Arabidopsis thaliana: one gene and its partner. The protein of the gene in region 1 interacts with the protein of each later gene in a biochemical or structural test. Each region holds a gene or a part of one and is shown on either strand. Other genes may lie near its edges.

The links.
Region 2: of the proteins of UBP27 (region 1) and UBQ14, one has a biochemical effect on the other in vitro, tested with the Arabidopsis thaliana proteins (one study listed by BioGRID).

What each region holds. Positions count from the first base shown.
Region 1 is NC_003075.7:18,300,760-18,312,183, reverse strand, and holds UBP27 (ubiquitin-specific protease 27), read right to left. Parts: upstream 6,050-11,424; 5' UTR 5,793-6,049; coding exon 5,523-5,792; intron 5,441-5,522; coding exon 5,314-5,440; intron 5,239-5,313; coding exon 5,138-5,238; intron 5,051-5,137; coding exon 4,811-5,050; intron 4,716-4,810; coding exon 4,644-4,715; coding exon of another isoform or gene 4,630-4,643; intron 4,529-4,629; coding exon 4,400-4,528; exon of another isoform or gene 4,300-4,399; coding exon 4,129-4,299; intron 4,049-4,128; coding exon 3,989-4,048; intron 3,907-3,988; coding exon 3,559-3,906; 3' UTR 3,429-3,558; downstream 1-3,428. Other genes in the region: AT4G39380 (TSL-kinase interacting-like protein), read left to right, coding at 310-427, 597-802, 893-1,125, 1,200-1,380, 1,477-2,034, 2,110-2,274, 2,413-2,556; AT4G39360 (uncharacterized protein), read right to left, coding at 8,749-9,153; CESA2 (cellulose synthase A2), read right to left, coding at 10,294-10,878, 10,963-11,313, 11,396-11,424. UniProt on the Arabidopsis thaliana protein: Recognizes and hydrolyzes the peptide bond at the C-terminal Gly of ubiquitin. Involved in the processing of poly-ubiquitin precursors as well as that of ubiquitinated proteins.
Region 2 is NC_003075.7:1,274,440-1,284,887, forward strand, and holds UBQ14 (Ubiquitin family protein), read right to left. Parts: upstream 5,728-10,448; 5' UTR 5,523-5,727; exon of another isoform or gene 5,226-5,522; coding exon 4,308-5,225; 3' UTR 4,091-4,307; downstream 1-4,090. Other genes in the region: AT4G02880 (ELKS/Rab6-interacting/CAST family protein), read left to right, coding at 692-739, 1,037-1,199, 1,303-1,964, 2,098-2,271, 2,359-2,475, 2,635-2,814, 2,903-2,949, 3,195-3,474; AT4G02900 (ERD (early-responsive to dehydration stress) family protein), read left to right, coding at 9,627-9,940, 10,020-10,169, 10,359-10,448. UniProt on the Arabidopsis thaliana protein: Ubiquitin exists either covalently attached to another protein, or free (unanchored).

The DNA of each region.
Region 1 (11,424 bases):
TTTTGATTAAGTCGAGATTGGAAAAGCGCTTGAGTTTCTGGGTTTAGATCTGGATATTGAAATTTTGTTTTATATTTCTGCGACTGTAATTGTGTTTGATTAACAAGTATGAGTTTATTTGTAGATTAATTGGGCTTGTTTTTAAGTTTCGTTCGGTTGCGGATGAATCTAGATATGTGAGACACTTGGATTTCTAGGGTTTGAATCTGTGTTTGGAGGTTTTGCTATAAATCTCTGTGAAATAGTATGGAGAAAAGAATATTTTGACTCTTGAGTTTTGATACCGAATTTTTGTTTTTCTTTTTCAGAATGGCTAGAAAGAAGACTGAAACTGCAACTGAGTCCTCAAAGGAGATCAAAGCGAAAGGAAAATTCACCAGAGCCAAGAAGTCTATGAAAACAACTACTAAGAATATCCATCAATCTGGTAATAGTTTGTTAAATCTTCTAAATAATTTTCACTTTGATCAAAGGCGTTTACCACAAGATTAGTTGTTGGTAATCTAGTTGAATATCATAATTTATGTTATAATATCTTAGCTCATAGTCTTAAACTACGATCTTTTGGCATTGTAATTGGATTTTTCATATATCAGGAAAACATAATAGTGGAAAAGAGGAGAAGTATAAATGTTCAGCTCAGCCTTCATCTTCTCAAGAGCAAAGGCTGATACATACTGAAGACCAAACTCAAAAAGTACCTGTCCTTGATATCCATTCGAGCAAGGACGTTCCACGTTCTGGAAAAATGAAGCTGCAGCTCTTTCCTTTGGATGCTCATACCCGTGAAGGATTGGAAAAGGTAGAGCTGAAGATCTGACCACAAGACTTGCACTAAGTTTATATATATTCTGGTGAAGAGTTCTATTTATTATTTTATGTTACTTCATAGGACGGCTTTCACCCATACTTGGAGCTCACTCTTAGCTCACGGAAGAAGATTTCTTCAGTGCTTCAACGCATTCACAGTAAGTGGGGCAGCTCAGAGATTGCTCGTGGAGATCCCACGTTGTACCCTTATGATACATCGGTACTTGCTTCTGGTCATAAATGGGTAGCAAACAGCAACATCACTACAGGCAATGTCTATGAAGCTATTGGAGCTCCATTTATTTTCCGCTTACGGTTTGTATCTATACACCTTTTGAAGCAAATTTCTAAGCGTAGACACGTTTGACGATTCTTGTTACTTCGTTTAGGTATGGGTGGTCCTCTGCGACTGAAAATAAAACCAATGAACCGCCATCTCCTTCAACTCCAGGTACAGGAACGCAGATGTTAGGTTCAGAGAACCCATTGACTATGCTGTCCTCTCCAAATCAAGTGACTGACACACCTCCCTTGGAAAACTTACCGCATGATGGACAAGTTGAGTCAACGGTATGCTCAGTAAATAATGTTTTCTTTTTCTCTTGTTTTGGATTCAAATCTTATATCACAGTATACCTGAGATCATGACTACTTTTGTTTATATAGGAGAATAAGATAAACGATGGATCTGGCCCGACATTGCTTTTTTGGGATGATGGATTAACAAGCCTAAGTATTGGTGGCTTGCTTTCAGAAGTATCATTGAAGGGAAACTTTGGAAATCATTGTAAAAATTCAAACGCAGGGAATGCAAATGCAACTCTCTGGGAAGACAATCTTACTAACATAAGCATTGGAGGTCTATTTTCTGAGGCTTCTTTACAAGACAGATGGCATATGAACAATGAACGAGAACCAGCTCATAATGGTCAGTCTATTGGAAGTATAGGAGGCTTACTATCTGAAGCATCAATTCTAGGAGAAGGAAGGATTAGTGACTGTAACAAAACATGGGAAACAAGGAGAGCTATCAAACAACCACCATTACCTCTAATCTCTGATTCATTAGATGCTTTCCTCGTGAACCAAACAGATAACCGTCGAGCTCCTTGCCATGCCCCTCTTCCTGAGTCGTCACATTCGTCTATACTCGATGCAGAAGATACGTGCCATGCATTTTCATTTCGAAAGCGTACCACAATAACACCAAAGGTTCACGATCAGGTTAAATGTTTCTCAAGTTATGCTGCGTGTTTATTTTATTTTATCACTAAACATTTCCGATATTGCTATTGTCAGAAGTTTAGAACTTGCAACTCATGGTTATGGGATATGAAAATTTGGCAGGTAAGTGGAGAAGTTGAGAAGGAGAAACAGATTGATGAATCGAACCCCGCAAAACCATTATTGGGTTCCTCGGTGTTTAATCAAGACAGCAGCCTCGGATTATCAGGAATCAAGTGGGTAAGTGAGAGTTCTTCTAACTGTGTGGTCTCTGCTTCACATTTCTCTAAGACTATATATTTGCTGTAACAAAATACACGAGTTGGGCAAATAAGTTGAGATATGTTTTACCATTTGGATTTGAATCTGACAACGCAGGCTGAATCACGGGGACCATTTGATTTCGGCTTATCTTCATCGCGAAAGTTTGCTAATGGAGACAGCGTAAGCTTTGGTGCTGTAGTAAAAGATTTGCAGGAAATGGAGCCTTTAGAAAAGAAAATAAAGCTTCAAAAGCATTGAAACTCATGAACAATAATCATTCCACAGGTAAGTACGACTAATCAATACTACTAAAGATAACAAAGTCTAAAAAATATCTGGAATCCTTTTCTTACAACTCCTTTATTGATATCATTATATCTTACAATAAATTCAACTAATTGTCACACAAACACTTTCTGCGTGTTTTTATTGACAGGAAAGGTAAATACTAAGCATGTGTCTAGAACCTGAAGATCATTTTGACAAATCATCAGAAGGTAACTACAGTGAAGTACAGGTCTGAACAAATCATCAGTGTGTAAATATGCTCTTTGATCTTCTTCACCTTCTGTCTCTGTTTACTGCCCCTTCCCAACCTTTGAATCTTTCATGAAGCAACCCTTTTTCCATGCATGTGTGTGCTCTGCAATCATATGTTAGAGCATTTGTATATAACATACCTCTAAAAACATCAATCCACAGTTGAGTATTTGTAAAAACATCTTTTACCAACTTTTATTGTAGGCTATTCCACTTTCCATCGTATATATTTTTAACTCATTTGATAATTTAAACCCAAAGAACAACATAAGCGGATTCTAATTGTGTGGATATGAAAGAGATTAGATGGGGGTTTCTTCCTATAGTATCGAGGCAAACAAACTCAACTGTATTGGAGTAAAAGTAGATAGGATGGATAATAGATAGAAATTTCGGTTCGGTTTGGTTTAAAGAAAAAAAGACCCATCAATTTACATCGGTTTGGCGGAGATATAATTGAAACTGATTCTAATGAGCGCGCCACATTATATCGACTTATCGAGGAAGCTTAAGGACTGTTTGGATTTACTTATAACACAATCCTGGAACTAAAAGAGTGTTTGGTTACAAGGTTATTTTAGTAGTGTTTGGCTATAGGCGAAAATATATTCAAAAACAACTCCACTCACGTATCTTCTAATTTCTCCAAGTGCAGAAAAGAAACCTTAGAACACTCGATCAATCCAATGAAAACCAAGCTCTAAATTAATTTCTCTTTTATCAAAGCCTTTCATAGAAGAGCAAGCTAGCTTCAGCACCAAGAACATCACTCTCTGAAACTCTGCAAACTTCTGAATCAGATATACTAAACCAGCTCAAATCCTCATCACAATCTTCTTCTTCTTCCTCTTGTGAGAACACTCTCACACTTCTGTATACAGTATAATGCCCGCTTCCGGTTCTACCAAAATGCTCCACTACTGTTACAAGCCTGTACATGCCGTGATTTTTTGATGCTTCTGGCTTTTGGTACTCTGACGACATCTCAATCCTTTCTTCTATGTTTACGCCTATTGAAGATGGTGTGAACAAGGAGAGGTTCAAGACAAGTGGAAATGCGATATGTCCCTATACAGATGAACTGAGATTAGAAGGAATAGAACTCGAGACATGAAATGTAGACAGGAAAGAGAGATAACAAGACTCATACCGACAGTTTGAATTCCTCAAACATGTTAAACGAAGCGCGTTGCACTTGAATGCATAGGAGCTGTAACAATTTAGCTAGACAGGGTCAAAATGGGACTCAAAAGAAAAGAGATTTTGATATTGTAATGGATTCAACTTTACTTTCACGTCTAGTTTCAATGAGTAAGCAAATACCTTTGGGAAACGGGCGATGATTAACTGTTTCAATATATGGGAATAGCTATTTGACCAAGGCATTCTTTGAAGATGAAGAGAAGTTTTACAGTCACATTGGTCCTCTCCGCCACAGCTCCTGAGCTTTTCGATTTCCGTCTGATTGAAACCGTTTCCAGGACACACGGGTCAAATAGAGTCGCGAAGCATGTACAAAGGAAAAGTACAATAACATTAAAAGCTGAGAGAGATTAACTACCTCAGCTGCTCCTATCACAGATAAATATTTCAGTGCAGCACCATGCCAGCATCTATAGCAGAAGTAGTTTTCAACTTTCTCAGTGTTAAGAAACTTCTTCAAGCAATGCTCCAAAGTGCATCCAGACATCTAAGAGCATTCCAAAAGGAAAAATATATTGAGAATTCTTATATTTCTGGAGAAGTTTCATATTGCCAAAAGCAAAACAATATAGCAACAAGAGAATGAACCTTCCGTAACATACAATGTTGTAACCACCGTGATGGAGTAAAGGAGAAAGAGGCAGAGTATGAAAAAACTGAAACTCCAAAGAAATCTGGAAAAAAGCAAAAAATATCACATGGGGAAAAAGTATTTAACTATAGCAAGAGCCACTTTTTACTGGTGAGATTGAGAAATCTAATCCCTTACCTGAGATGAACAAGTTCGGCACATTAAAGTACTACCAAGAATCCCATCAAATGGTCCACGCAAATGTTTATGCCATCTCTTGAGCTCCATCAAACCATGGAGGCCTTCACTAGGCGCAAGCATTCTCAAGTTGCGAGAGAAAAGTATATCCGAAAGATTACTACTTTGGCTAGGGCGATAACAAACTACAATCTCTTCTTGCAAAGAAGATATAAGATGAAGAAGGGCTTCTGCTGCATCCTATGTTTCAACAAGATCATTAGCTCATAGAAGACGACCACCAACTCAAGTATACTTTTGGTCTTATAGAAGAAATATAAATTTAACCTGTTGGCTTGTCAAATTGAAATTTTTGGCATAGTCAGTCAATGTCACCATAACTTTACGAGGGTTAGATACAGATCGTCTACTTCCAACTGTGCCGAGCTCTGATGGTAACAAGTAACAAAAGATTACTCTCATTATCATAAACCAACTTTCAACACAAGATACTACAATTATACCTTGTAATAAAGCAGACAAAGCAAAAGTAAGAGGAAGCTGTTCCTCTTGTTCTCCTGCTAACGAACCTCTCGCATCCTCTAGAACCCATTGAAGAAAACTCCTAAAATCTTTGCAGCTCGCTAGAGCCTGAAAGTCAAATCCACAATCCAAAGATTTATAACAAAAAGATCAAAAGCAAGCTCAAAGAAGAATTAATTCAAAGTATTACCTGGAGGATGACGTTGAGGAAGCAGTTATTTCCGAGATTTTGAAGGCCAGGTACGAGAAAAGAATCGTCTCCGGAGTCTTTTTCTCTACCGGAGAAGAGTTTTAAGTTGTTTAAGTTGCGGAATAGACCGTGCTGTTGGGCAAATACGAAACCAGCAACACCAAGTAGACCAGCGAAAGACAAATGCGAAACCCATTGATTAGAGATCCTAATTCTATCCGTGAGGACACAGACAATCGCTTTTGTCTCGGAGCCTCTTCTAGAAACCATGCTCAAAATGACACAGTTCAAATCGATCTCTCTCTAAGTCAATCCGTAAAGCTTGAGCATCCTAGCCTTCCGGTTTGTTCGGTGGATTTTGATTCGCCGTACAAAAATCCCGATCAATCAGACAAGGTCAGCGGCCAAAAGACCAAGCAAATTAGGTCCGGTTTAATTCGTCTGAACATTTTAATAATAACATCTTTTTAGCTTATTTGATTTGAAATTACAATTTCCTAACTATTGTAACTTGTAAACATAGAATTTCTAAATTTCGAGTATTTTTTTTTTGTATATAAGAGTGTTATTTGTTGAATGTGGATTACAGCTTTCAGAGATCATTGATTCTTTGAAGCTCAAACAAAGTTTTCAGTAATAAGCTTTCAAAGTTGATAAATAAAGGAATCACGGTATTTCATCACAAATAAAATTCATAATGAGAACAAAATTTCATCACCAATGAACAAAATTGTTTACAACAAAGAACTCTTTACAGATTGTAAATAAATCTGACAATGATTTTTACAGATTAAAGGAAATTACAGGAAACGTAAGGAACTCTTTCTCCAAAAGCCAGTAAAGCGAAGAAGCTACCACCAAGAAATTACCTGCAAATTCAACACAAAAAATAGACGATAATAATCTACTAGAAGGAATAACCTAAACAGACAAGATAATCGATAGAGTGAATAAAGATCTCAGACATCCAAGGAAGGATAAAAGCTGCATTAACTCTCAAGCCCGGCGAAAGGCGAAAGCTTTAGGCGGCCACTGCGAATGTTTTGAGAAACAAGCCTTAAGTTTATCATCATTGATCTTTCTTACAGACAAAAACATAAAAACGAGAATTAAAACATTCATCGGTTTCAGACATCCAAGGAAGGATAAAGCTGCATTAGCTCTCAAGCCTGGCGAAAGGCGAAAGCTTTAGGCGGCCACTGCGAATGTTTTGAGAAACAAGCCTTAATATAATCCTCATCAACCGAAAACTAACAGCAACAATCATCTAACTAAAACATAATTGGTCTCAGACATCCAAGGAAGGATAAAAACATCATAAGCTCTCAAGCCCGGCGAAAGGCGAAAGCCTTAGGCGGCCACTGCGAATGTTTTGAGAAACAAGCCTTCATCTTATCCTCATCGACCAATATTAAGCAATTCTACCAATTAATCAAAATCGAGATTATATGTTATTTCCCATCATATAATGATCAGCAAGAAACCAATTAAGACTGCTGACAAAGTGACAGATGGATCAAGATTTGAGGGACTTTGTTCAATCCTATTAAGCACTAAGAGAAATCAATTCTGCTAATGGGACATTGAATAACTTAGTCCCAAATCTAAAACCCTAATAGAAAACAAAACAATACAGGTTTAGATACAAAAGTTTCAGACATCCAAGGAAGGATAAAACAGCATTAACTCTCAAGCCTGGCGAAAGGCGAAAGCTCTTAGGCGGCCACTGCGAATGTTTGAAAAACAAGCCTTTGGATTTATCATCATTAACCAATAAGAAAACTCTAACCAAAGCTATAAAGACTATATTCACAAGATCTAATCAATGAAAACACAGGAACAATTGACTCGATGAATACAAAAATCGTTGAGAAGAATCGGACAGACTACTACAAAATTACAGAGGCTCCTATTATGAAGAAGTAGAGGATGCGGTCTTTATATAGTGAGAGAGAAGAGGCGTCCGATGATTAGGGTTTCGTCCTCCCTGACACGATCAACGGTGGAGATCTATTTTGTTTTTTTTGGTTCGGTGCGTCAGTAGAACAATCGAGATGTTAACAGTAAATAATGGGCTTGATTGCTTTTTAGTTCGGCCCATAATATTTGGTGTATTCTTTGGGTATCAAAACGGGCTTATAACAAAGCGCTGAGATAAATACTTACTTTGAGAGCATTTTCTTTATTAACACAACTCAAGTTAACTATAACAAACACAATAAAGATCATATTGCATATTATTTTAGATTTCATAAGATTAATTTTTTCATTTGTTAGAAATAGATGATAAAATTGTATAAATTGATGAGTTAATTTTTTTTTGCACAAAACCCTATTATTAATTTATAATCTTTTAGAGTGATTTTAGTTGTGAAATTATGAAAGTAAGATGCTACATGAAATAAATAAATAGTTATATGTAAAAAAAAGGTTATATGTAAATATGTGATAGTGATATAATTTTTAATGAGGTAACTAACTATGATAATAGTTGATGAACGTTAGGATATATTCTGTAGTAGGAAGATGTGACTTGTTATTCTTTGTTAGTTATTAATTATACTATCCTTCTAGATAATTGGTGTGAGAATCCATACAAAGATTATTGTGTACGTGCGAGTTAAACATGATATTATGTACGTATAACAAGATTATTAAACTGAAGTTTGAACAGTATGATATGTGAGAATCCATACATGATTGTAAGATTGTATGCATGCGAGTTAATTAAACTTCACCAGTTGACATTATATATAAGATCAAACTCAAAGCTTTGAGCTTGCGATTTTAATCATGTAACCGCTTTAAAAATATTTCTTTAAGAAAATATCTGCCTCTTCGCAAACTGTCCAAAATTTATCATGGTCCTGAATTTTGGTTATTATATGGAAAGGAAAAAAGTTGGCATCTATACTATAGTATCAACATTGAACACAATTGTTGGGAAAAAAAGGGTGAACACTATAGTATCTATAACTATCGATGTAATTTCAAAATGCATTTACGTCTACCTTAATTTATAACAGGGGCATTAATGTTTAAATAAGAATGTGTGTTAAAATTATTGCAAAGCGTCAATTCTTCTAGCACCTTCTCCCGGTTCAACGCTAATAGATACTAGTACATTACTTACAAAACCATAGAAAACGATGACATATAGTATAATTACACACGCTTCTAACAAACGTCATTAAACGTTATTTAGCCATGATCCCCTTAAGACTAATTAATCTCTCGTCATCTCGTTCGTCGCTCTGTAGATGCTCTCAAGAGACCGAAACTTCTTCTTCTTATGTATGCCTGTCCTCGTCTCCATCATCGCCTTCAGAAAACTCTGTCCGTTCGTAACATTCTTGATCCTCCACACGCCGTCGTTTTGCGCCTCTTCGGCCATATGATCTCTAACCTTTGAACTAACAACATCATCTTGTATGTTCGTATTATTGCCTTCTGATCCTTTCCCGTCACACCCGTCGTAACCGGTCGAAACGCTACAGCCAGTGCCGCTGCTACAGCTCAACGTATCCTCTTCGCTCAACTGCACTAGCTGCTCCGCCGCCTCAATCTCCGTCTCCGAAAACGTAACCCCCGAGTCTTCAGAAAAACAAATCTTCTCCATTTGATTGATCATTTTCGAATATCTGATTGTCGATCGAATTTATCTTGTCTCCTTTTTGACCACTTTGATCACGTTTACGTGTATTGTTGTTGTTTTTTGTTGTATCGTTTCGTTTTGTCGTCTTTTATATAACAGAAGCAAAAAGGAAAACCCTTTAAAAGAAAATGGAAATAATGAAAAAAGGAAACTACAATGTCGGTTTTGCAAAAGGAAGATAATATGGAAAGTTAATAAACCATGCCTGATTCAATGGAACCGAGTATATTTTAATTACGATCCGGAACCGTCAAAACTATTGACCAAGTTTCAGAATCTTTGTTTTGGTTGATCCAACGACTCCTGCGACTTTGTCTGTTACTTATATGGTGGGGTTTAGTGGTTTACAAAATTTCCATTTTTTTTTGAAGAGAGAGAGATGCGTTTGACTTCAATTATACGATTTGGTGGGGTCCATGCAAAGCCATTCCGGTATCGATAAGGAATAAACACGTCTTGGGGCCCTTTTGCCGCATTCCACGTGTTCTCATCTCAATCGCATCATCATCCGCTGTGGGACATGCGGTGGCTTCGCAGCCGTTCGATCAGGTTAAGTAAAATCATTCTAAGATTACTAAATTACTATTGAAACAGTTCTTTCCAATCATATTTTTTCATGTGTGATGATCTGTGATCGAATATGAACAAAAGAAATTTCGAACAAATTTACAAATCGGTCATTTTAATTTAACATTCAAAACAAAAAGTTTTATCTACATCACATCACAATTTTGAAACAGTTATATCCGTAACACACACACACCGCAACAGACGGATTTAAATATAAATGATCGTTTAACACAAGTTTTAATTTACAAAGAAGGTGTAAAACAACACTAAAATCCATTATTAACAAAGTGTGTATATATGATCGTTATCAGTATTATACAATAACTACGGAATAACTAAAAGTACATGTAAAAAAGAAAAACAAACAATTCTATTAGTATAACCATGATAACAAAAGAATTAATTTAGGGGTAACAAAAAAGGTTTAACAAGTCGTAAAAAGTAAAAACTGCACATCTTCGTCTACAAACACACTTGCATCATCATCAACACATTTGCTTCCAAAGCTCCAACACAAACTCCTTTGCTCTTCTTTCACTGAGGATCTTAGTTTCCACAATTCAGACCACAGATCTCCAACACTGGTCCCCCTTTAGCCACAAACGGGTTAACTCTGACCCACAAGAGTGTCAAGATCGAAGCTAGAAGAATAGACCAGACCACAATAATCGTAGGCATTTTGTCTTGCTTCCCAAGCATTCCCTTGAGGAATGGGTATAAATGAACAATGACCCAAAGAGCGAAGAAAAGTCTCCCAAAGAGAGGTCCCCATGAGTCATAGCCATTGCTAATGGCATCAGAAACGCCGACAATAACTCCAATGATGTTAATGATCAGAAGTGTTGTCGGAGGAATCAACAAAGTTGTCCACTTGAAGATGTAAAGCTCAGAGAAAGCTCCATCGTCTGCTGCTTTTGAAGTGACTGTGAAATTCGTGTTAACTCCGGCTAGAACTTTGAGCAAACCTTGAAACAGAGCAAATAGATGCGAGGAGGCCCCTCCGATTACCCAAAACTGCTCGTTTCTCCACCAATCATCGATTCCGACACCTCCCCATTGCATTTCGAGGATTCCAGTTACTGCTATGGATATGAACATGAGCATGAAGAGTATACCTGCGTAGTTGCTTATCTGTCAAAGCAAAACACAAAACATTTAGAACATCTCCAAACTGAGTAATATAAACCGAAAATGCAGAGATTATCATTAAGTTACCTCAGGGACGATGAATTTTCCTGTGAGTAAACAAACCGCGGGGAGAGAACAATAGACGATCAATGGAAGTGAAGTCCAAGGATAGACGACAGAGTTGATGTAAGAGAATCTCTCCAACCATTTTAAACCACCACCATAACCATACCATATCGGACAATGTCTGCTCAAGAAAATCTCTACAGAGCCAAGAGCCCAACGTAGAACTTGATGAAGACGATCTGACAAGTTAATAGGAGCAGATCCTTTAAAAGCTGCACGCTTAGGCATACAGTACACAGATCTCCATCCATGGCAATGCATCTTGAAACCCGTCAGGATATCTTCAGTCACCGATCCATAAATCCACCCGATCTGCGTGTGATTATCAGCAAGAATGAGATCACAAGAACTTTTCTAGTTTTCAGAAGTTGAAAAACTTTGTAATGTTTTCTACCTCTTTTCCCCATTCGGTTTTATCTTCGT
Region 2 (10,448 bases), about 17 Mb from region 1:
ACCCTTTTGTTTCTTAGCCGCGTAAGTTTCGTCTGATATTATTTTTCTTCTTCTCCGAGAAACAAACCCTTTAATTTACTGTTGTTTCTCACAATTCTCAAAAATCTCTCATCCGAATTGCGCCTTTTCCGCTTCCTTTTGCTCTGTCAAATCTCTCAACCGGAAAAATCTCGGGAAGGTTCGTCTGATCCAATTCTGAAGATTTTGAAAAACCCACCGAGAACTTCGAGGTGAATTTGATCATCTTCTTCAAAAACCTGTTTTTTTGTTTGTTTGTTCTTGTGTGTCTCTATTGTTAATTTTGACGAGGAGATTTATATATCCTATGATCAGGTCGTGTTTCACTTCTCTAATTAAGTTGCTTTCTTTTGATTCCACCGTATTGTATCTCTGGATCGAAATTAGGGTTTTAGTGTGTGTTGTGAACTTTAAACGCATAAAGTTTCTGCCTTTCGCGTATTTGAAAGTTTGATGCAGCCATATTCTGTAGTGTCTCCAAGCAATTTTCTAGGGTTTTACATAAATATGATGTAACTTCTTATTTGTTGATTTTACTAATTAGATGATACTTTTCAGTGAAGTTATTGTCTTTTGGGATTACTTGAATCAACCCAATAGCTCTTGCACCATTTTAACCCAGTAATAATCGTTTGTTTTTGCTTTCTTGCAGATTTAATTGAATTTTTCACTGATGGGTTACAAAGCAGTTTACCGATCTCTCACGGAATTGTTTCCACAGGTAAGCTCATATCTTTATCTGTTTTCACTAAACTTGACTTGTAGCTGACATTTTCACAAAACTAAGGGTTTCATAAACTTGAGTAAGACGCTAGTTTTCTGTTGAGTAATGGTAGATTTTACGAGATGCTTGTGTCGATATGTTTCTGAGGTTTTAGTATAAATTTTCCTCTATGAAATGCGATGATTGATTATGTAATCTCACATTCCAGTGTAGTCTCACACTCCAGTTGCTGTTTAGCCTGTTTTGGAACCAACTTATATTGTTATTAAATCTATACAATAAAATTTTCTACAGATTGATGCAAGGCTTTTAAAAGCTGTTGCTATTGAGCACCCAAAGGATGTTAATGAAGCTGCAGCTGTAGTTGTTTCAGAGATTGTTCCTTTCTTTTACCCTAATTTGGCTGATAGTTCTACTCAACCTGAGAACAAGACACCCGGAAATGTGCCTACCGAAGGTACTTATTCTTTGCAATGATAATATTATATTTTTCTGTTCTGCTACTAGGACATTTTTTTTGTACATTTGAAGTTTGAGGGTATGTTCTGATGAAATGCCAGTTGAAAATGCAGTAGAACGTGATATGCCATTCAGTGTGTTGTCTGGTTCAGAGATGGGTGGTTCATATTCAGGATCTGCCTCTATGGCTTTTGAATATCATGAAACAAGGGCCCCAGTTACTGAATCGGTTTCTAAGAGGAATCAGTTGACACATGTTATGCCAAATGTTGTTGTTGATATTCAGAGAAAAGGTAAGATCGGGTTGAGCGGATCGGATGAGTCTGGAGTGGTTTCCTCAGAACCCCCTGTCTCCTGTCAGGCAGGAGCCAAATCGACTGGCGATGATTGGCAAGGTGTTGAGTTTCACAGTACAGGTAATCAAGCAGAAGCTAGCACAAGCGCAGATTCAGAAGATGCTGTGCATAAGCTGGTTTATCCTGCAGACAATTTGGCAATTACACAGAACTCACATCCTCTTCAAATTAGATTTGGGAGTATCGATGTTGTGAACGAGACATCAAGTGGTTCGTTGGCTGTTGAAAATAGTGATGCCGAGTTGAGTGGTTCAAATCTTGTGGATGAGATATCAAAGGGCTCTTTGGCCGATGAAAATGGTGATCCAGAGCTGGATGGTGCTGTTAGCTCTGTTGGTAACAGATCAACCCAGGGATGCAACATGGTCCACCTTGAACAGATCATTGAAGATGCCAAAAGTAACAAGGTATGCCAGTGTATATTTTGGACATTCTTTCATTTCCAGGAAATAATTAATTTTGGGGTTATGTGTTCGATAGGAGGGTTTCTTTATCGATATCTCAGTATCATTTTCTTCTTTATATTTTGTGATGATGTAGAGAACCTTGTTCACTGTGATGGAGTCGATTATGAATCTGATGAGAGAAGTTGAACTTCAAGAGAAGGAGGCAGAAAAGGCAAAGGAAGATGCTAGTATAGGAGGCTTTGATACTCTTGACAAGGTGGAGGAGCTGAAGAAGATGCTGGAACATGCGAAGGAGGCAAATGACATGGTGACTTTTTGTTACTAATATTTTACTGATACGTGTGTTAACTGTGCTTAGGTTTTAATTGGGGAACTAATCATTTGTATGTTACAGGCTGCTGGAGAAGTTTATGGGGAGAGGTCAATTTTGACCACTGAAGTTAATGAGCTTGAAAATCGCTTGATCAGCTTATCAGAAGAACGAGACAACTCTCTCTCTGTTCTTGATGAGGTCCGTGCAGGCCACACGATTAGATCCTACTTGATTTACTCAGTATTTCTGTTTTGTTCATTTGCAACTCCATTAATCGTTAACAATACACGCTACTAATATCTGTTTTTTCACACTGTAAGATTTTGCTGATTGTGTTTCTTTTGTTTTTACTTTTAGATGCGTGTAGATCTTGAAATAAGACTAGCGACAGCTTTGGGGATAAAAAATGCTGCTGAGCAAGAAAAACAGGAAAAAGAAGGGTCTGCACGCAAGGCATTTGCTGAACAAGAAGCGATCATGGAGAGAGTTGTCCAAGAATCCAAGCTTCTACAGCAGGAGGCAGAGGAAAACTCCAAGGTAACAACACTACCTTGAGATTGTCATGAATGAATGGTTCTGAATCTGATTTCACAACTTCTTAACTTATCTTGATCTCTTTCTTCAGCTGCGAGAGTTCCTTATGGATCATGGTCGAATTGTTGATTCCTTACAGTAAGTCTTCTTCCTTGCTACTAGCAATTCAAATTTATCTCCTCGTGAATCATTAGGATAAGAGGCTGTGAACTATGGAGTAAATGATCGGACCCACGAACCAATTTAGCAATTTTCTTCGCAGTTGTATGATAATCAGGAATCTGTTGATATATTTGTTGTTTAAATGTTCAGAATCTTATGGTGAATCTTGTCTGCTATTGATCTTAACTATTCTTTTACCCTTTTGGTACTTCCTTGAACAGAGGAGAAATCTCTGTGATCTGTCAAGACATCCGACACTTGAAAGAGAAATTCGACAACCGAGTGCCATTGAGCCAATCAATCTCCTCAAGCCAGACTAGCTGTAAACTGGCTTCTTCCGCCTCATCCATGAAGAGCTTATTGACGGAGAAGCCTTTGGAAGCATCTTATGAAACACCTGAAGCCTCGAGCAATAACAAGAGCCCAAAAGCTTCTGTTAATGAACGTAAGGAGCTTCTGGATGACGGCTGGGACTTCTTTGACAAAGAGACAGAGCTCTAAGTGTCTTCTTTTCAGTAGATTATCGGTGCTAGAATAAAAGAGATATGAAGGGATTCTGGGTTCTGCTCTATGTAGAGTAAAGCTTGGATCTTTGATCTAATCTACCGTTAGTATAAAACATCTATTGAGCTCTCTTTTATTTTTCTTCTCAGTGTATAGTTTGCTTATTGTTTTTTTGGTGTTTTTTTCCACCTCTTTGTGGTACTGACATAAACAAAGACTATCGTTTTGTCATAGAATTTTGAGATTTTGAAGAAAAGTTGGATAATTTAGTATACTTTTTAACTGACTTTATAAAACGAATTAGCTTCAATTAGAGCTTCACAATTCTCGGATTTTACTGAATGACAAGTTAACAATTTAAGCTAGAAAAAAATATGCTCTAAGCCTGGACATGTTGTTAGTCATGGCCAGCGTATGTGTACATTAGGTAAATGAAAACAAAAACAAAAACTTTGAAGGTTTCTGTTAAGAAAGGAACTAATTTAGCAATAAGAGACATGATATTACAAGCTCAACACTGTCGCTATATCTACCAGAAGCCAACAAATCTTCCAGTGCGTACCATTGGAGCCACTTTTCAGGCTCATTAGACAAAAGTAGCACATATAATGTAAAGACGAAACGATGATAAAGAGACTCACAAGGACATAATTCCAATACAGAAGAAGTTTGATGTCATTACTCATTAGAAAGAAAGGTATAACACAGGAACGGAAACATAGTTGAACAATTATTCATCAGGGGCTTTACAAGGCCCCAAAACACAAACCACCAAAGTTTTAAATGAAACGAGACATGAACTTCTTCTGATTCATAACAGAGATAAGTTTTTAGAAACCACCACGGAGCCTTAGCACCAAGTGAAGGGTAGACTCCTTCTGGATGTTGTAGTCGGCCAAAGTACGACCATCCTCAAGCTGTTTTCCAGCGAAGATGAGACGCTGCTGGTCCGGAGGGATACCTTCCTTGTCCTGGATCTTAGCCTTCACGTTGTCAATGGTGTCGGAGCTCTCAACTTCAAGAGTAATGGTCTTTCCAGTGAGAGTCTTCACGAAAATCTGCATACCTCCACGGAGACGCAACACCAAGTGAAGTGTAGACTCCTTCTGAATGTTGTAGTCAGCCAAAGTTCTACCATCTTCAAGTTGTTTTCCGGCGAAGATCAATCTCTGCTGGTCCGGTGGGATACCCTCTTTGTCCTGGATCTTGGCTTTGACATTGTCGATAGTGTCAGAGCTCTCCACCTCCAAAGTGATAGTCTTTCCAGTCAACGTCTTGACAAAGATCTGCATACCACCACGGAGCCTGAGAACAAGATGAAGTGTGGACTCCTTCTGGATGTTGTAGTCAGCAAGAGTTCTGCCATCCTCCAACTGCTTTCCAGCGAAGATCAACCTCTGCTGGTCCGGAGGAATACCCTCCTTGTCTTGGATCTTGGCCTTGACGTTGTCGATGGTGTCAGAACTCTCCACCTCAAGAGTAATCGTCTTTCCCGTTAAGGTCTTGACGAAAATCTGCATACCACCACGGAGCCTGAGAACCAAGTGGAGGGTGGATTCCTTCTGGATATTGTAATCAGCCAACGTACGGCCATCCTCTAGCTGTTTTCCGGCGAAAATAAGCCTCTGCTGATCCGGAGGAATGCCTTCCTTATCCTGGATCTTGGCCTTAACGTTGTCGATGGTGTCAGAGCTTTCCACCTCGAGGGTGATAGTCTTTCCGGTGAGAGTCTTAACAAAGATCTGCATCTGTAATTCACAAAAAACTGAGATTAATCGCTTGGATAATCTCAAATCCGATTAAAAAAGCTACCACCAGATCTGAATATAAATCACATATCGGATCAAATTCAAAGAATCGACGCCTAAATATACAAATCTGTGAAATCTACGAACCCTAGTTCAGAATATAGATGAGATCTAGCGATGAAACTCAGATATTTATCTCCGATCAAAGATTAACCGAATCAAACTCAAAGAACAGGGACGAAATTGCGATCGAATGGAAAATAATCGAAGAAACTGAATAAGAACCCAGAAATTTACCTTGATCCCGATTGAGAGATTTGAAAGAACGATTTCAGAGTTTGAGAAATTTGGAATCTGAATTTGTGAAGAAGAATAGGTCTTAGGTTATTAATTTATAGAAGAAGAAAAAAAGACGAGGACGAGTCGGTCACGAGAAAGCTAAGGCGGTGAAGCAATAACCAACCAAAGCTTGACACGTAACTTTTACACGAAACGATTTTTTGGCTAATTGCCTTATTTGATAAACACGATCCGTGTGCCCGCGGCTGCAACCAATTTTAACGCCGTTTATTTCTAACCACAATCTCTATCGTCCCGGTTATTAGAGCCAGATGTTGAGACTTAACGATCGTACCAATAAAACCGGGTTCAATAATATATGTAACCCGGTTTGATCCGATAGGATCATATTGAACCGTTACCCATGGCACTTAATAAGGTTTTAATTAAAGATCAGCAGATTATAAATTTGAGATTTTGAAATATAATGCTTTCGTTGTTTTGGCCAGAATAGAAGCATTAATACAATTGTTTAATTCACTTTAAATGTGAACATGATTTGAGGATATCTCTGTTTTATTGTTTTTGGAACAAATTGTTGAGTATAAAAAAAAATGAGAATTTTTTTAAATCATTAATGCAAAATCCATGATTTATTTAAAAAATCTTAACAATAAATAAATCTATATATACATTTTTGTAGGAGGTTTTTGAAGATAATATTGAAAATTTGAGCCATAATTCAACAATTAATTCAAATGGGTGGGTTTTACCCGGTTTAACTCTGTTCGGATCCTGGATAACATGTTTAATTCTGTTCTGATCTTGGATAACATTAATTTTTGGAAAAGTTACCTAAAAACTAATAATTAAAAACGAAAATTAAGGATTTAATTACCAAATTTAATATAAACAATATCTCTAAACTAACCATATTTCTTATTTACCTTAACTAATTTCCTAAAATATTTTTACCTAATTTAAACATAAATATATAATTCTTCTTTCATTTTTATTTGATCTTATACTTTATTTATTTTGACTTTATATAAAATATATATAGTTAATAAAATATTATAATTTCTTCTGAATATGATGTAATTCAAATTTTTTAAAATGGACATATATTATTCAACCTATAAAGAAATAATATGTGTACAATGTCCCACATCGCTTAAAAAAATTGCACAATGGTTCAGACCCATATTATAAAAGGACCAAAATGATTCTAATTACGAATGAGCAGGAAGCTTGATTTATCAGGCGTCCAAAATTAAAATAGTTATCCGATTTTACTCGGATTTTTTATTTTAAAGAATTGAAACTTTAAAATGTTTCAAGAAATTATAAATATTATAACTTTTATCAAAAGTTAAATATTATAATTTAAATTTTTTTTATAAAGTTTATCTTTAAAAAATGCTTTAAATATTTATAATTTTAAAACTTATAACGTTTTAAAAATTATAAATTAAATTTTACAAGAAATTTAAATATTATAAATATATAAAAAATATATTAATACGAGACGATATATTATAGGAAAAATCTTAAATATAACAGTCAAAATTCAATGATGAATTTTGGGTCGATATTGTATTTTTTGAAGTTTCAAATTTTATAATATTGAAATTTATAAGAAAATGACAAAATTATGTTTAATTTCACGGGACTAGGTTATATGGTAGGACGGGTTTGGGTGGATAATAATTACGATTTTACAATGTCCAACATCGCTTAAAAAAATTGGACAATGGTCAAGAGCCATACTATAAAAAGGACCAAAATGATTTCGATTACGAATGAGCATGAAACTTGATTTATGAGGTGTCCAAAATTTAAATGGTTTGTTTACTAGGGTTATTTATTTTAAAAAATTGAAACTTTAAAAAGTTTAAAAAATTATAAATTAAATTTTACAAGAAATTTAAACAATATAAAAGATATTAATACGGGACGATATACTGCGAGAGAAATCTTAGATATAACACTCAAAATTAAATGATGAAGTTTGGGTCAATATTAATCTTTTTTTGAAGTTTCTAATTTTATAAATATTTGAAATTTATAATAAAATGACAAATTTGTGTTTAATTTCACGGGACGGGGTTATATGGTGTGACGGGTTTGAGTGGATAATAACATGGGATAGTATGCTATAGAAAAAACATATAATAACAATCATAATATAATTATATAATCTTAAACACTAAAAAAAATTAACAATATTATAAAAAAAAAACTTAAAACTTTAATTTTTTTAAAACACATTTTGATTCTTTTATAAGAAATTTAAACATTATAAATATTTAAACTTTATACTACGGGTGAAATTTTAGAATTGACTGTTTGGGTTGATAAGAATTTGCGATAGAACTAGGAGTTAAATCCTAGAATGACAATCAAAATATAGTTATACAATTAAATATTACCACGAGTGAAATCCTAGAATTGACGAGTTTGAATCGATATTAATATGGGATGGTGTACTGCGGGTGATATTTTAGAATTGATTGGTTTGGGTTGATAATAATTTGCGATAGAATTAGGAGTGAAATCCTAAAATGACAATTAAAATATAATTATACAATTAAATACTACCACGGGTGAAATCCTAGAATTGACGGGCTTGATTCGATATTAATATGGGATGGTGTACTACGAGTGATATTTTAGAATTGACTGGTTTGGGTTGATAATAATTTGCGATAGAATTAGGAGTGAAATCCTAGAATGACAATTAAAATACAATTATACAATTAAATACTATCACGGGTGAAATCTTAGAATTGACGGGTTTGATTCGATATTAATATGGGATGGTGTACTACGGGTGAAATCTGATAAACAACAATCAAAATACAATTATACAATATTAAACATTTAACAAAATAAACAAATACAACTTTAAACTTTAAAATTTGAGTTATAAAATTTCGTCACGCGGTGAATTATACATTTAAATCAAACAATAGCATAAATTTATTAAATCATCCTAAAAAATATTCAATTATTTTTTATTTAATAAAAATATTGGCCCGCGGTATACTGTGGGTTAATATCTAGTAAATATATATTTCTAATGCATTTTTTCTTTAAATCCATGAGAATTGTTTTTTGAAAATCTATAAAGTATTTTTCAAAATAAATCTTAACACAAATTGATAGTATATAATTCTAAAGTTTTAAAAGGCATCACAAACCAATAACACCTCCTAAATTGCAATTCAAATCCAACATAAATAAAGTCCTGAAACTGATATCATCAATATAATATTTCCAGTAATTATTTTCTATACCTACACTTTTTTAATAGTTGTATTTGCTATATAATTATTTTATTTTCGATTTCGAAGATTCGAATAATTACGAGTCGGCGGGTGGACAATCCGTCAACGGTTTACTCCGTTCTATTTTTGAGAACAAATCAAATTTTTAATGTAAAAGTGGTCAATTATTGGTTCGTAGTAATTTTCTTTTATTTTTTTTGGTCAGTACTACTACGGACTTTAATTTATAAATGGTAAATCAAAAGCGGTTAAATTTAATAGATGTATTCATTTCAACCAAGTTAAAAAGCCTCAAATTTATTTACTAATTAAATCAATCTAAATTGTATATACATATATTCTTTTCAATGTTACAATGTTACCAACTTAGATATTAGTGTATATGTACTAACTTTTTAATTCAGGATTCATTTGCATTTTCGCAACATTCACTCACACGAGTAAGGCACGTGAGATATGTTCTCCAAAATTTTAATTACAGAAAATCAAAAACAAAATTCGAACGAGAAGCAGAAAAAATCGGAGAATCGGAGGAAGAAGATGAAATGTCGTTGGAGAAGAAGAACAACGTCAATGGCGCCATTTTCTCTCGTCTTCTCCTCTTTTCCCGGAATTTCAGTTTCTCACAGTCAATCGCCAATTCGATTTTCTCGGGAAACTGTCAGAGAAAAAACAAAAAAACAAATCGCCTCCTCCAATCTCTGGTAACTCAGACACTGAAAAAACCTGAGATTTCATCTTCTTTTGAATAAAATTTTGTACTTTTTGGTGATCTCTTTAACAGGATTTGTTGAACATTTTTGGTTGAAATTGCGTTGTTAAAGAGAAGAAGATGGCTTCAGTACAAGATATTGGTCTATCAGCAGCTATAAATCTATTATCTGCATTTGCTTTCTTGTTTGCATTTGCTATGCTTAGACTTCAGCCAGTTAACGATAGAGTTTACTTCCCAAAATGGTATCTCAAAGGGATAAGAGGAAGTCCAACGCGTTCTAGAGGAATCATGACTAGATTTGTTAATTTAGATTGGACTACTTATGTCAAGTTTCTTAATTGGATGCCTGCTGCTCTTCAAATGCCTGAACCTGAGCTTATAGAACATGCAGGCCTTGACTCTGCTGTATATATCCGCATTTACCTTCTTGGGTATGTATCTTCTTCTGATCTTGAATTCATTCTCATGAGGCACAAGCTTGTTTCTTAGGTTGTTCTGTTGGTTTTTCAGATTGAAAATGTTCGTTCCGATAACACTACTTGCTTTTGGAGTTTTGGTTCCTGTCAATTGGACTGGAGAAACTCTAGAAAATATCGATGACTTGACATTCAGTAACGTCGATAAGCTGTCAATATCAAATGTTCCACCAGGATCGCCGAGGTATTATTCACTACTGCTTTCTCTCAGTTCAGGGTATATGTTAGCACCTTGCTAAGTTTGGTGGACTGTTGTTATCTGCAAGTTACAGACTCTGTCAATAAAAAGGGTTTCTTTTTTACAAAGTGTGTGATGGTATTGTGCAGCTTTCTATTTTATCAACTAAGACGGCTGGAAGTTTCTTGGTTCCAGGTTTTGGGCACATATAACTATGACATACGTGATTACATTCTGGACTTGCTACATATTATATATGGAATATAAGGCTGTGGCTAATATGAG